Notamacropus eugenii: one gene and its partner. Each later gene encodes a partner of the first gene's protein in a complex. Links are inferred from orthologs where the notes say so. Each region holds a gene or a part of one and is shown on either strand. Other genes may lie near its edges.

Region 1 (7,177 bases):
TGTGCTCAGCCTGACCAGCACCCTGAAATCAACCATGGGACGCTAGGGATACCCAGGACCCATTCATTGTCAGAGGGCAAAATTCCAGGGTAGCTTCAGGGGTGAGATTTTCGGGTGTTCTTTTTTTAAGAGACTCCAGCCCTAAAGGATGAAAAAAGCTCAGCAGAGCCCCTACTGGCCCATTGTCATTATTACACCTTTAGAAAATGGACTACCAGAATTCTCTAAGATTCTGACATTTTTAACTTTCCCAGGCTTCCAGCTCCCATAGCTTCCCTCCAGGGCTTTCCTTTCCAAATCGGCTTCTCTCCCCACCCCACCCCCATCGCCCCGGCAGGCTGATTCCATCCAGGCCAGGGAGAGGGACCAGGGGTGCCTGGCAGTCACCTGGCCAGCAATTGTATCCAGGGACGGAGAAGAGAAATCTGGGCAAAGAAGGGGAAAAGACAGCCCCGTTGAACTGGTATCAACAGTGTTCCCTTTCTGGATTCTGACTTTTCTGACACAGGGAAAATTGAAGACAGAGCAGGCTTGTTTCCTGTCTAATGCATCCCAGAGGTACAGAGAGAGCCAGATGTTTTGTTTCCATTTTCCTACATTTGGCAATATTTCTCAGCCTTTCTCTTACCCCTCCCTATGTTTTCCAATGCCCCACAACCCCTAGGAAACGTGACCTTCCACCATCAAGAAGCGGGAAAAACTACGGGTACAATTCACCCCTTAAGAGAATGGGATGGATAGGGAGGGGGGAGGAAATATGGTTAGAGGTACCTGGAAATGAGAAGAGGGAGCTTTCAGGAGGAAATTCACCACCAGATCAAAGTGTGTGTGTGTGTGTGTGTGTGTGTGTGTGTGTGTGTGTGTGTGTATGTGTGTGTGTGTGTGTGTGTATGTGTGTGTGTGTCTGCTGGGGGGGGGGTGACTAAGGGCCTATGGTTAGGGAAACTGGACCATCATCTATCTGCCTAGACCTAGGGCTGAGACCCCGAATCGGCTACAGGAACCCTGCTGGAGGTGGGCAGGGCACTAATGAGGGGGTACAAAGCAAATCCTCTGGCCATTCAGAAAATGGGGATGCATAAGAGGCTTTCTGTACCCAGAACTAAAAGCTGCCCCCCATCCCTTCTCCCTCTTACACAATGCCTCCTTCCCCAGTAGTGCCCACTGGAGCGGGGGATGATGGGGACGATTGGAAGGGGGTAAGGGAAGACAGTAGGGTCTGCTCAAGGAGGGGCTGGGTGGCTGTGGAGCAGACGGGGCGCCCAGTCCTGGAGCCTGGGGCAGACGCTGGATCGGTGCTCGCTCTCTTTCTCTCCCTCTCTCGGGGGTTCGCTCGGGATTCTGCTTAGAGGAGCACTGCGCCAAAAGCCGGCGCCTCGGCCGCGGGAGGGGGAGCAGAGTCGGGCTGAGGGAGACCGGGCACCGACGGGGAGAGCCGGGGGAGGAGGGGAGGCACCCGGGCTCCGATAACCCCTCACTATGACAGTCCCCCTCTTTCCTCTCCCTCTTCACATCACACACACACACACACACACACACACACACACACACTCACACACACACCCCTCCACCCTCCACCCCAAGCTAGCATAAGGAGCCAATGAGTGGCTTGCAAATCTTGGAGAATGGGGAGGGGGGGCGGTGCAGACAGACTTAAGCCTGTGAACCCCAAAGAGCAAGCGGCCAGAGGCAAACTGCCCTCCTGGCCCCGGGGGAGATTGCACAAAGCAGAGACTCCAGTTCTCTCTCTACCACCTCCACCCCTCCGTGGGGTGCGGCTGGGGCCCTCTTGGTGGGGAGGGGGTAAACCCGACTACCCCCACCCTCGGGCGGGGGATGGTACAGATGGCTTGGGGGGGGAAGGGGAAGCGAGAACAGTCGAGCCTGGGAAGCCCCAGTTGGGGGGCCAGCGTCTCTGGGTTCTGGAGAGCCGCCACTGGGATCGTTTCAAGTTCATGGCTGGGCTCGCCCAGCAGCGACGGCGGAAAGGGCAGTGACTCCCGAGGTTCAGTTAGGAGGCAATAGCGGCGACCCCAGCCCCACACTCCCACCCTCGGGGGTGTACCACCGGGACCTCTCCCCCTTCTCTCCCCACCCCCAAGCCCGAATTAAGAAGATGAACCTCCGCCCCACCCCAGCAGTCTCCCAGCCAGCTGCCCAAGGGAGGCGCGCGGTTAAAAGGGAAGGAGAACTTGGGAGACAAGTGGCCCCAGGCTAGTGCCCGGGTGGAGGGGGGGGGGCCGGGGGCAGCAGAACCTCAAGCCCCCGCCCCTGCTTCCACAGCGACCTTCGCTTCCTTCTTAAGCCCAGCTACTCCGAGGGCCCCCCATCCAGACCATCTCCATTTCCCGACTCTAAGCCTCCAGGATCCAGACGCCTCCCGTTCCCCCAAGCTGCCCGCGACTCTCCCCGCCGGGTCTGCGCCCCCACCTCGGCCCCCAACCAAGGTGCCCAAGCCAGCTTCTGCCTGCTCCTCAAGTCCCGGAGCTCTTGCAGTGGCCGGGTCTCCTGAAAGACAGAGCCGAGACGGGGGCTCGCTCCCTGGCGCAAGCCAACCGGGAGCTGCGGGGGGAGACCAGAGGGCCCCAGCCCCCTCCCCGGCCCTTCGAACCCCAGCTTTCCCAAGAAGCCAGCCTGCCCAGGTGGCGGCGACGGCGGCGGTAGCAGCCCGGCGGCGGGAAGAAGGGAGGGAGGTAGTGGTCAGCGAGCCCGGCCCCCTTTCTCTAGTCTCTGCCAGCCCGGTCGGGCACCGGCACCCCGGCACCCCGATCCCCTCCTCAGCCTGCGGCACCCGGCCAGGCACCGGCAGCCCGAGGTCTCCCAGAACCTTAGCCCTCCCACCCACCCCCAGGTGGCTGCTACTCACCCGGGAAACAAACGACATAATGGAGCACGGAGCTGGTGATTTTCAAGAAAAAGATCCACCAACACGGTTCCAAAAGCCTCCGCATGTCCAAAAACGCACATCGAAAGGGAGGAGGCAGCTGCGATGAACTTGTTAAATAAGTTTCTTCTCTTCCCTTTGCCTTTTTCCCCTCCTTTTCACTTTTCTTCTTCTTTCTTCCACTCCCCCTGTCGCCCCCACCCAAAGTCCTTCCCCCCCACCCCCCAGGAAACAACCAATCACCCCAAATGAAAAGTAACAAGGCAGAGGAAGGCGCCGGGAGCCGGGATGAGGGGTGGGGGCAGAGTCGGGGGCAGGAGAGAGGGAATGCCCCGGGGGCTGGGGGAGGCCGGGAGGCGGCGAGGTCCGAGGGCTAGCCCTAGGGAGCGGGCTCCAGCAGCCCGCCGGCCGGCCGGCCGGCCAGCCAGCAGTGTGAGCCGCAGCTCCGGTAGCTCTCGCTCCGCTCGCTGCCCCAGGCCTAGAGCGGCAGAGCCCGGGCTGGAGAGAGAGCCGAGAGCGAGAGGGAGCGAGGGAGCGGGCACAGACTGGCCTCCTCCGAACTTGGGGCACCGGCGGCGGCCCGAGGCGGCTGGCGAGGCTGGCGAGGCTGCGATTCCGCGTCTGCTTCAGGCAGGCAGCTCCTTCCAGGGCCACGGGAAGGAAGGCATGTTGGCTAAAGGGGAAGGGGAGGGTGGAGAGCCGGGGAGGAGGAGCGGGAGTCCAAGGAGGACCTGCGGCGGCGGCCAAGGAGAAGAGAAAGGGCCGAGCGAACGGCCAAGGGCAGCAGCCCGGGGAGCTCAGGGCGCGGAGCGGGCGAGGGGGGCTCGTTCAGTCCATGCTCCAGAAAGTTGTGGCTTCGCTGAAGGCTGGAGAGGAATGAGCAGAGCTGGGCTGGAAGCTGTCCATTCTTCCATACAGGAAGTAACATGTGAGCTGGGATCCTGGCAGAGACTTTAAAGCGGGAGAGCGAGGGAGAGCGAGCGAGAGGGGAGGGAAGGGAAGGGAAGGGGAGGCGAGGCGGGGGCGCGCAGGCAGAGGGGGCGGCGGGCTGGGCGCGCGCACCCTGCGGTCTTAAAGCAGCCGCGCACTCGGGCAGCCTGGGGAGAGCAGCTCCCCCCGCCCCGCTCCCGTTGGGGATCTCTCGTGCGCGCCGCGCGCACCCCCCCCCCTCCTCCTCCCCTTCCTCCTCCCCGCGCTCTGCCTCTCTACGCGCGCCCGCCGGGGAGACACACACCCATGCACACATGTGAGAGCGGGGCACCCGGCGCTGGCTTCGGGACCCGTCTGGGGGGCGGGGGGCGCAGGCCGAAGGGGGGAGAGGCCAGGGCCGGATCCCAAGGAAAGGACGAACCTGCTCTGCTCGGCTGCCCTCGCCCCAGAAATCGCGCACGCACACACGCACGCACACAGTGCGGGAGCTCTTCTGCCCGCCTCGCACACTCACTACCTGCTCGCGCACAAGCATCTACATTTGGCAAAGAAAAGGAAACAAAACCCCGGCGGCCCCGCGAGTCTCGGGCTGCCTGGGCTTCTTCCTCTGCGCCGAGATGGAAAGGTGGGAGGCAGGACTGGGGAGGGGGACAGCGATCCTTACTCCTCAAGTGCCCCCCCGCACGCTCACGCGCGCACACGCACACACGCGCGCACACACACACACTCACGCACACACGCGCACACCGAATGCGCCCCCCGGCCACCCCTGCCCAGGGTGTGCACAGCTCGCAGAGGGCGCAGCCTGAGAGACCCCCCCTTCCCCTCCCTGTCCGGCTCTCTCGATCGCTCTCCACCCCCACCCCCCGCTCCGATCCCCCTTCAGAGGCCGCGGGGAGATGGCTGCGCGCCTCCAGCCCGGCTGCCAAGAAAGCAGCGCCCGAGGCACGGCTGATTTCCCGTTTGATACCCGCGGAGCGGAGCTGCCGCTGCCTCTTTAGCCCTGGCGTTTAAATAAAAAGCTATCTGGGAGACGCGTTCCGGGGGAAATGGGAATGGGTCTTATCTGTAATGAGTTTCGTTCCTGACTTTCTCCCGCCGGGGAGATGGTATCAAGGTCTCCCTTCGCCTCCTAACCAGGGCTGGCATGGGGGCTGCGGTGGGGAGAGAGGGAGCGGACTGGGGAGGCCGGGATAATTAGCCACTGTAACTGAGCTGAGTGTCATTTGCCATTTTGTGATCGTGAATAGGACGGACTTTTCGAAATAGCATCTTTCTGAAGGCCCTTGTGTCTTCGTTTGTCCCCCTCCTCCTAAGGAGCAGGAGCCCCCTCCCTCTCAACCCCCTCCACTCTAAAAAGCAACAGGATGTTGTTTTTAAAACAATATACAGATGTTCCGAGGCCCTCCACGATATGTGATTAGGAAGCAATTTTCCACCCACGCATGCACAAGGAAAACCTTTGAAAAGTTACATTTGGGATTATAAACTAATAAAAAGTCAGGAAGTTTCCTGCCTTCATCCTTGACATAATGGGGTGAACATCTCCTCAGCCAAGAAGCAGGCTTGATTTTTTTGGGGGGGGGACCTGCTTCCGGGTTTTGTTGGAGATAGGTCACACCCACAAATGCATTCATACATGATTTGGGTAAGGGACCCGGGGACAGTGATCGGGCTTAGAATGAAGCAAGAGGCGTGCCTGTGGGAAATTGCAAAATTCTTTGCATGACTACCCTCCCCCTTCCAGCTTCTCCCTAAAACAAAGGCCCGGCTTACTAACTCCAATACTCTTCCAGTAATATTGCCGGCTTCAAGACTCCCAAGAACTTAAGTTAAGGATCACCTAATGGGGACAATGATGAGGTGCTTGGGGGCATGAGCATATTGCAATACATGACCACATTTTGAAGACAAGGTCTAAAGGATGGCATGAGAGAGATATATGTCTAGGGCATAAGATGGGGAGTTCACAGGCAAGGGGCAAACATCCCTCTTGCTCCATATTTATTAATGAAATGACTTGGGGGCTGAGGGGGGCAGGAGAGACTCACTTTGGGTGGACCACCAGTGGTAAGATTCAGAGAAACAGGCACGCAAAATGGGCTGCAGAATATGAGGGGAATGGACTTGGATGACCACCAAAGTCCTTTCCAGTTCTATGTCTATGAATTCAGGACCAATGGAAGCCAAGACCAATTGTTAAATCACTGGAATTCATACCTACCTAAGTTACATCACCAGTCTCAGAAGTATTCAAGTCATAAGGGATGTTCACATTGCTTAAGGAGTCACCTTTTTTTTAATTTTCTTTTTTGTGACTGTTTTTGGTAAAACAATATTTTATTTTTTCCAATTACATGTAAAAATAGTTTTCAGCATTCATTTTTAATAAGATTTTGAGTTTCAAATTTTTTCTCCCTCCTACCCTCCTTCCCAAGACAGCAATCTGTTACAGGTTATACATGTGCAGTCATGTAAACATATTTCCACATTAGTCATGTTGTGAAAGAAACAGAACAAAAGGTAAAAGACACATATGCACAAAGTGAAAACAGTATGCTTCCATTTGCTTTCAGACTCCATGGTTCCTTCACTGGATGTAGATAGCATTTTCCATCATGAATTTTTTGAAGTTGTCTTGGATCAATGCATTGCTGAGAAGAGCTAAGTCTATCATAGTTGATCATTGTAAATGTTGCTGTAACTGTGTTTAACGTTCTCCTGGTTCTGCTCAATTCACTCAGAATCAGTTCATATAGTGGCATTGCTGGATCAGAGTATCATAGTTCAATTACCCTTTGAATATACTTCCAAATTGCTTTCCAGAAGAGTTGGAACAGTTCACAACTCCACCAACAATTCATTAATGCCCCAATTTTCCCACAATAGGTATGAAGCAGTACCTCAAAGTTATTTTAATTTGCATTTCTCTAAGCAATGGCTATTTAGAGCATTTTTCCACAACTATAAATAGCTCTCATTTCTTCATCTGAAAACTGTCTATTCATATCATTTGACCATTTATCAGTTGGGGAATGATTTGTATTCTTAGAAATTTGACTCAGTTCTCTCTCTCTCTCTCTCTCTCTCTCTCTCTCTCTCTCTCTCTCTCTCTCTCTCTCTCCACACACACACACACACACACACACACACACACACACACGAGAAATGTGGCCTTCATCAGAAACTTGCTGTAAAAATTATTTCCCATATTTCTGCTTTCCTTCTAATCTTGGTTGTGTTGGTTTTACTTATGCAAAATCTTTTTTAAATTAATGTAATCAAAATTACCCATTTTGCATTTCATCATGTTCCCTATCTCTTGTTTGGTCATAAATTCTTTCCTCCTCCATAGTTTTGACA
Region 2 (8,175 bases), about 18 Mb from region 1:
GATTTTATCCCCCTTACCTACCCCCCACTGCCCCCTTCCCTCCCCACGACTGCATACAATTCTGTATAGATTCTACATATACTTTCCTATTGAGTATATTTTCACTATAGTCATGCTATGTAGTCAGACTAAGATAAATGAAAGAAATCGTATAACAAATCAGAACATGATACACAAACACATACACATATACAAACATGATCTGCTACAATATGTGAGTGACTTCCATATTTCTCTCTCTGAGTGTGGCAGGCATTTTGCCTTGAGATCCTCCATTGGGATTTTTTTTTTTTTTTTGGTAAGAAGTTCTTGTGTTATTACAAAAATCTAAGTCTACCAGAAAAAACTCTCACACACTGTGGTCGTTGCTGTGCATAAAGTTCTCCTGGTTCTGCTCCTTTCACTCAGCATCAGGTCATATAAGTCCTTCCAGGCCTCTCTGAAGTCTTCTTGTTCATCATTTCTTACGGCACAATAGTACTCCATTACATTCATATACCATAATTTATTCAGCCATTCCCCAATTGATGGACATCCCCTTGACTTCCAGTTTTTGGCAACTACATAGAGTGCTGCTATAAATATTTTTGTACATGTGGGACCCTTTCCCATTTTTATGATCTCTTGGGGATATAGTCCTAGTAGCGATATTGCTGGGTCAAAGGGTATGCACATTTTTGTAGCCCTTTGGGCATAGTTCCAAATTGCTCTCCAGAATGGTTGGATGCGCTCACAGCTCCACCAACAATGAATTAGTGTTCCAACTTTCCCACATCCTCTCCAGCATTTATCATTTTCTTGTTCTGTCATGTTTGCCAATCTTATAGGTGTGATGTGGTACCTCAGAGTTGTTTTGATTTGCATCTCTCTAACCAATAGTGATTTAGAGCATTTTTTCATATGATTATAGATAGCCTTAACCTCTTCCTCTGAAAATTGCCTGTTCATATCCTTTGACCATTTATCAATTGGGGAATGACTTGTATGATTATACATTTGGATCAGTTCTCTATATATTCTAGAAATGAGGCCTTTATCCCCAAGCTTAGCTGTAAAAATTCTTTCCCAATTTACTACATCCCTCTGGATTTTGGTTGCATTGGGTTTGGTTGTGCAAAAACTTCTCAGTTTAATGTAATCAAAGTTATCCATTTTGTAGTCTACCTTGTTTTAATGAATAAAAAGCAAATAGAGTCACGATTAATTGTGTGTGCTTTTAATTATGGATGTGCAAGAGTTTATCAGATTTTACTTCAGGATGAAGAGAAATAATGGCTTTTAGTCTTGCCTACTCCTCACTTTTGAACTCAAGTGGGAAAAGTGGACTTCTATCATTTACGTTAAAGAAAAGCATTGAGTGGAGTGTGGTATGGTACACATTATTTTGTTATTTAATAGAGGCTGATTAGATCATCCCTTTTGATTGATAGTAAGAGGGCAAAGAATGCAGGTAGAAACTTTCAGAGTAATTGATTAGTATTTCTGAGTGTGAGTCCTATTGTAGTGTAATCCTATGATTTTCTATGTTTAGTCTTAAATGAATGAATGAAAACAATTTGTCAGTTATCTAAAATGTGTTACTCATTGTTCTAGGTTCTAGGGATACACATCAAAATCATTTGCTCCTTTCCCTGAAAGAGCTTGCATGGGAAATGACTCATGGGTTACAGGAAATAACCCATGTCAAGGATTGTGACCACTATAAAGAGTTTTGATCTGGAGATTCAGGAATAGCATATGGGGTCTTATGACAGTTTATTGCACACCCTTTCCAAAGACATCAATAATACCAATTTGACTGCTCTTTCTGTAGTAAGAATCTGAAAATGGGGTACCCCTGTGATAACAAGGTACATATACATTGGTAGATGGATGTGAAATATGGTCTAAGGCCATTTGGATGTAGCAAATAAGTGATTTTGGCTTAATTTACTTACAAATAGGACAACCAATACCCCACCCCCACTCTCACCCTCTCTATCCCCTCTTTCCTTCTTTCAGGTCTTAATACAAATGCAACCTTACTCCCTTCTCTGGTACCTTTCTCACCCCCTTCTCATATGTTAATAGGGTGTGACACTACTGGATGTCTTAGTTGTCATCAATTCCAAATTCAACCCCTTCCCATTTTATAGATGGAATAATTGATTTGGCCAGGATTGCAATTCTAATAAATGGTATGGCTAGGACATGAATTTGGATTTCCTGATGTCAAATCCAGTATAATGTATGTTCTGAAAGTCTTTTATTCTATTCCCAGAAATACTTATCATAAAAATGTCTACATAGTTAATAATTTACCAAAACGTTTCCAGTGTAATAGACATAGTATTTGAATAGTGTGTTTCCATCTGTGAGTGCAGATGGCCAACTTACATGTGCTCAGAGTACCATTTTTTGTACTGTAAAATAAATCCAAATATAAACCAAGAACTTCCAAAAAATATTCAATAATCCATGTGATGTCTCCAGGATCTTTTTTACCCTTTACCATTAGAATAATAGTAAAAAGTACCTTGAAAACAGTAGATTCCTAAGAATATTTGAAATAACCTGCAACTCTTACTATGATTTTTCTTCATTCTTTCTGTATCTTTGTGTCTTGTCCTCTGTTCTTTTCTCCTCCCCAATGCCAATTTCTTGAGTTTAAATTAAAATCAAATAATTAAATACAAGGTTCTCTATGTGTATTTATGATAATGACATGCCACAGAAGGTTTCAGATGCCTTCCACTATAGAATGTCCCTCATACCTGCTTATTCACATAGATTATAGATACAGTATATTCCCATCAGTATGTACCACAATATAAACTGTTGACGTCAGATACTGATGGCAGGTTGGGAAGCTACCTATTTACATGGCACGTCTTCTGTGTTTTTGACTTTTTATTCTCTCCCACATTTATATTCGAACCAAACTGATGATGGTATTAATAGCTAACATTCACATAATGCCTTGTTTTGCAAGAAGCTCAGAGGGACAATATTAAATGATAAGAAGAAGGCATGAGGGAACTGCACTCAAAATGGAGTTGAGCAGCAGGTTTGGGGGATTTCTTTGAGAATCCTTCTGCACAAATGTCAGTCATGGTCATATGTCTGTTCTGATCATGATACATAAAAGATAACATAGATGTTTTGCAAAGAAATGCTATCCAAACTTGAATAAACAGATTGTATCTCTGCTTTTAAATTGTTTGGATTACAATTCAGTTGGTTGAATTTGGTGACTTTACGTTATCTCATGACATTTGGATGAAGAGGATGAAAAGTCACTGAATATTTCAAATTTGTAAAATGGGAATAATAAAATTACCTACCTCCCAGTGTTGATGTGAAGATCAAATGAGATGATACCTGTAAAGTGCTTCCCGTAGTACCTGGCACAGAGCTGGTGCTTAATGAATTTTTGTTAAAAAATATTCTATCTCCAAGTCCTGTACTCTTGTTCCACACTATGCTACCTAGATGCCTCTGGATAACTTGGAATCTCAGGAATATATGCAAGGGCTTATCAATAAAAAATTAACAAGGCCCATACTTATGTGCCAGCTGATTATGGTGGTCACAGTGAACTCAAGTAAATGACAGAAACTAAAAGAGAAAGTGAAGAGGAAAGGAAAATTGAAATGAACAGAAAGAGAATTAAAATTTCACTGACCTCTGAGAAACTTTTCACAGAGGGCTTCAAAATCCTAACAACCAACTAAAGATTACTGGACTAAACGAATTCTTGGGAACCTCTGATCTACTTGTAAGGCATGCATCTTTAATTAGGTCAGGCCATCAGAGTCAGGTGAAAAATGATGGAAACTAAATTGTAGTTTTGAGAAACCCACAGATTCTTGGAAAGGGGAAATGGGGACTTTGTAAGGATTTGTACATGGACATGTAAAACTCTAATAATAACCTGGCAAGGATTTAGGAAAGCTCAACAAATTTCCTGTGCTTGAGCATCAACAAGTTTTATACTTAACTGGGATTTTGGAGCCCTCTCTCAAGCAAGTGATCACTTGGAAAGTTTTGTGCCTCTGTGATGAACCTATATACATATGTGTGTGCATATATGTGCATATATTTATATACATATTTGTGTGTGTACGTGTATTTGTGTATTTATTTAGTATAAGAGAATGTGGGGCCTTTATTAGTGATGGTCAAGTGGGATAAATTAAGAGAGTAATTAAGCAAACAACTTGGGCTTTATAAAGTTTTAAGGTACATCTTGGTGTGTGTGTGTATGCACATACGTTTGTGTGTCTATATGCATGTCATGTGGAAGCTTTCATTGAGCAAGGAGTTGGATGGGGACTGCGGAATGTGCTTATTATAAACTATTTTTCTTATTTAAATTTAACATATAGTTATAACTACACAAAGGAAACCTAGAATCATCATGGATTCTTTTCTGAAGATAAGAGTTTAACACACTTCTATGCCAATAAAATGATAAATATTATCAGGAAAAAATTTTGGAAACCAAGCACTAAATATTACTCTGTTTTCGCGTAAAGTAATATATCACCTTTTTATTTGCGAATCTGTGTACAATTCTGGTTAGTACATATTGAGGGGAATTTTGGCAATAACAATTAGGTTGTGAGGTCCTTGAGAACAAAAATGATTCTTTGTTATGTTTATGTCTTTGAGGGTAACTAACGGATGACTTATTTGTGGTGGGAATTCAATAAATATTTATGTAATGAATAGGAGAACAAATCTTGTAACAGGGAGATAAGTGCGTTGCTGATAGGTGTGTTGTGAGGCTCAGATGATTAATAAAGTGTAAGGCACTTTCCAACTTAAAAGAGATGTCTAAATGCCAGTTTATTATTATAATTATTATCATTATCATCAATATTTTGTTGCTGTTGTTGCTGTTAGCCTGTAGCTTCCGAACCTTCAGCTAATTTCATTCTCTGAACTTTCTACTAAACTTTTGCAAACTCAAGCAATGTTAATAGAACAATATCCATTGTGATGGTTAATGTTTAACTGATTAAAAAATGAAACCAAGACACTTTTAAGTTTAATCTGTACTAGTAATATATTCTTCTGTGTAGATGATCGATGGGACAATAAATAAAGCTTTAGTTTGTAATAATTAGTGGTTGCTGAGGTATGAAACCTGACTCATGATTGCAGGGTCAAATGAGAGCTAGCTCCCACACAGTGATCCCATGTAGGCTCCCTTTCTTTGACCTTAGTTAAGGAAGAGGAGTCAACAACAAAGAGACCAGAGTTTTAGTCTTCCAGGCCAATCAAATCTGGAAGTGATTTGTCTTTCAGGGAAAGAAAGAACCTAACCCATATCAGAAAGACCCTGGGAAATATTCTTCCTGCTATACTATATAAGAGAAGTAAGGTCTCTTCTGAAACATAAGAATGAGGCTAAGAAGTTAATGTTCAACCTAATGGTATGATGAGAGACCACCAGAATGTATTCACTAAATTCTAAAATACTGAAATGAATATCCTTCTCCAAGGCTGAATGAAGAAATACAAGGAACTACTAATCTCAGTGGACAGAAAAGGGGAAAAATATTTGCTAAAACAATTGGTATAGACTTAAAAGAGAAATGGATTCTAAGTAGTAGTTGATCAATTTTTTTTTTCAGATATAATAGAGTCTCAGAGGGTTATATAAAGAGAAGGAAGGATACCTGGGATTAATATCAGGAATAAAATTTTTCAAGAGTCCTCCATGATACATTCTTTAACGTCATTGTCAGAACACTGTTTCTTGAAATGTGATAGAATCTAACAGGAATTAAATACATCCCATAACGAAGGTGTGATGACACTTATGCTTTCAGTTTGGTTAATTTATGGATTTAATTAAATGTAGACTTTCATCTTGGGAAAATATATTAATCTATTATACTACACAAATGTGTGTTACTTATATAGATACTAGACTGAACCATCTTTTAGTTGCAATGAAAAGTAAAAGGTTATTTTTTTCCCACCTGAGATACTACATTGGTTTTATTTCTTTTTCATTTTTACAGACAATGGTGTTCTTCAGGGACCTAATTTCACCCAAGAGCCACAGGACGTGATATATTCTTTGAATATCAAGAATTCTGAAGTTGTCTTGAATTGTGCAGCCAATGGCTATCCAGTACCAGATTACAGGTGAAGTTCACGTCTTCTTTGTGATGGTCAGTGACAGCTTTTTTGCTTAAATTTGATCATCCCAGAGGAACCTAATATAAAGCTTTATACCTTCTTATTCATGCTAGGCAAATAAGATAAAGGTCTTATTTCATTTTTTTATCTTGGGAATCATGAAGGAAAGATTCAATAATTTTTTTTAATATTTATTTGTAAGGTAGAAATATAACTGTGCCGGAAAAAGTTAACTAATATTTGAATAGCTCACACTATGCCCATGAGTGTTGATGTGGTATACATAGGTCCCAAAACTCTAATATTATTACATTAATTTAAAAAGTATTTTAGGAGAGTCACTTGGCATCCATCATCCTGCCAATGACGAATTCTGCGGAATGGTTCTCTCAGAGTAGCCAGAAGCCCTCACACTTTGGCCAAGGTGATTCTGAGGTTTCTGCCACAGGGGGCATCTTCTTTTTGGCGTCTCCCTGATACTTAGGGGGTCAGAGGGCCCTTCTAAGAGTTCGAGTCCCAGAGCTATCCGCAGCTACTGTCAGAGGGTCCTCCTCAGTCAAATCCAGATCTATGGGCTGGGAGGTTTCCCTTGAGGTCAGCAGTAGTACCTGTGGGCTATTGGAGAGCCCAGGTCCAGAACCCCATGGCCAGGGGGCCACACAGCCTACACACAGCCTTCACAGTCAAGCAATTCACCACTCTGGAGAGCCCCTTTAAACGCCATCACTACTTGGGCTCTGCTTACAGGTGCAAACTGGCAGCAAGATCCAACTGACAGAAATTCAGAATAGCCCTCATGGAACTGAAGCGGCAGCTATAGGATTTGAGCACCCTCCCCCCAGCTTTCTCCTCTACAGTCCTCTACAGCCCTCCCTTTTCCCCTCCCCACCCCACTTCTGCAATCTGCACCATTGCCTCTGCCAGGCGTGCAGGAGGTGTATCCCAGTTCGCCTGTCTGCTAAATAGTTGCCATACCAGGCCTCCTTCCTGAGGGCACTGTGACAACGGAGGTCAGCCCCTCTTTGAGGATGACAGTGGTTCTGAGGAAGAAGGAGAGATAAGTGACTGGACAGGATAGGACGCCTCCAAGAAATGTTATGATGAAAGAGTCCTCTTTCCTCTGGCTTCTGCCACTTTGCAGTTCAACCCAATATGAACTTATATGTATACATTTGCAAATTTTTGTCGAACTATATTATGTATAGATCAATCTATTTATGGAAATATTAAAGAATAAATCAAAGTATTTTAGGAATGAGACTATTTTTATTCTTAACTCTGTCTCAACATCAATTCATAAATTGAATTATTTCACTTTGAAAGCATAAATCTTTTTATAAATTGATAAGAATTAATGGTAGATTTATAGAAGAACAATTTTACCTTTTGAAGATAATATGTCTGAATTGGCATTTGTCTAGATGTTTGAGTAGCCATAGGTAACACCAACTGAATTGTCGGTTTGCTCAATGATTTTTGTTCATGAATTTATTTGAGACTTACTACAATGCATAAAGACTCAGCCTATACACACTATAATTATGAAGCCAAGTGAGTAAAGGTAAAGGTAGGAGAGAGACCAAACATACCCCCACCTTTTGTCCCATATTGACAAACTATTACTTCAAACTGTGTTAAGAATTACTAGAACCTCACATTTGGAGATATTTATCTTAATTTCCTCACAAGAGAGATACTAAAATATGAATGTGATCATTATTTGAAGAAAAATTTGTAAATTATTTTTTTTTCTATAAAGAAATGTTTGGATTGAAAAAAGTCAGGATTTTTGATGATGAGCTGGGATGTCATTACTTTTTAAATCCCTGTGCATCTAGGATCAAAGGCAAAATGCTTCTGTCTTCATTTCCAAATCAAACTAACCTCTGCGACACCATCATTAATATTACCCTAAGAAATACTAATATCTCAACATGGGGAAAGTGACCCCCAAACTATGTAGTGAAACCTAAAATGATAAACTCTAAACAGTGTTTCAGCAACAACAATAAAAACAACACACAGGCAAAAGGACTTTCA

What was found. The genes of interacting proteins can lie anywhere in the genome.
Region 2: the proteins of PTPRG (region 1) and contactin-6-like are in contact, whole or in part, in a crystal structure (PDB 5E5U), measured with the Mus musculus proteins. The link is inferred for Notamacropus eugenii from reciprocal best matches to the Homo sapiens genes PTPRG and CNTN6. Residues at the interface, in NP_033007.2 of Mus musculus: Val225, His226, His227, Lys229, Phe288, Thr290, Gln292, Gln293, Asp294, His295, Val296, Lys297, Ser298, Val299, Glu300, Tyr301; in NP_059079.2 of Mus musculus: Arg129, Val132, Arg135, Gln138, Gly139, Val140, Val141, Leu142, Leu143, Cys144, Gly145, Met222, Gly223, Tyr225, Glu226, Pro227, Lys228, Glu230, Leu252, Asn306.

The regions. Positions count from the first base shown.
Region 1 is NC_092874.1:463,240,042-463,247,218, forward strand, and holds the start of PTPRG (receptor-type tyrosine-protein phosphatase gamma), read right to left. Parts: upstream 3,252-7,177; 5' UTR 2,952-3,251; coding exon 2,867-2,951; intron 1-2,866.
Region 2 is NC_092874.1:445,591,381-445,599,555, reverse strand, and holds the start of contactin-6-like, read left to right. Parts: upstream 1-5,066; coding exon 5,067-5,100; intron 5,101-6,014; coding exon 6,015-6,141; intron 6,142-8,175. UniProt on the Homo sapiens protein: Contactins mediate cell surface interactions during nervous system development. Participates in oligodendrocytes generation by acting as a ligand of NOTCH1.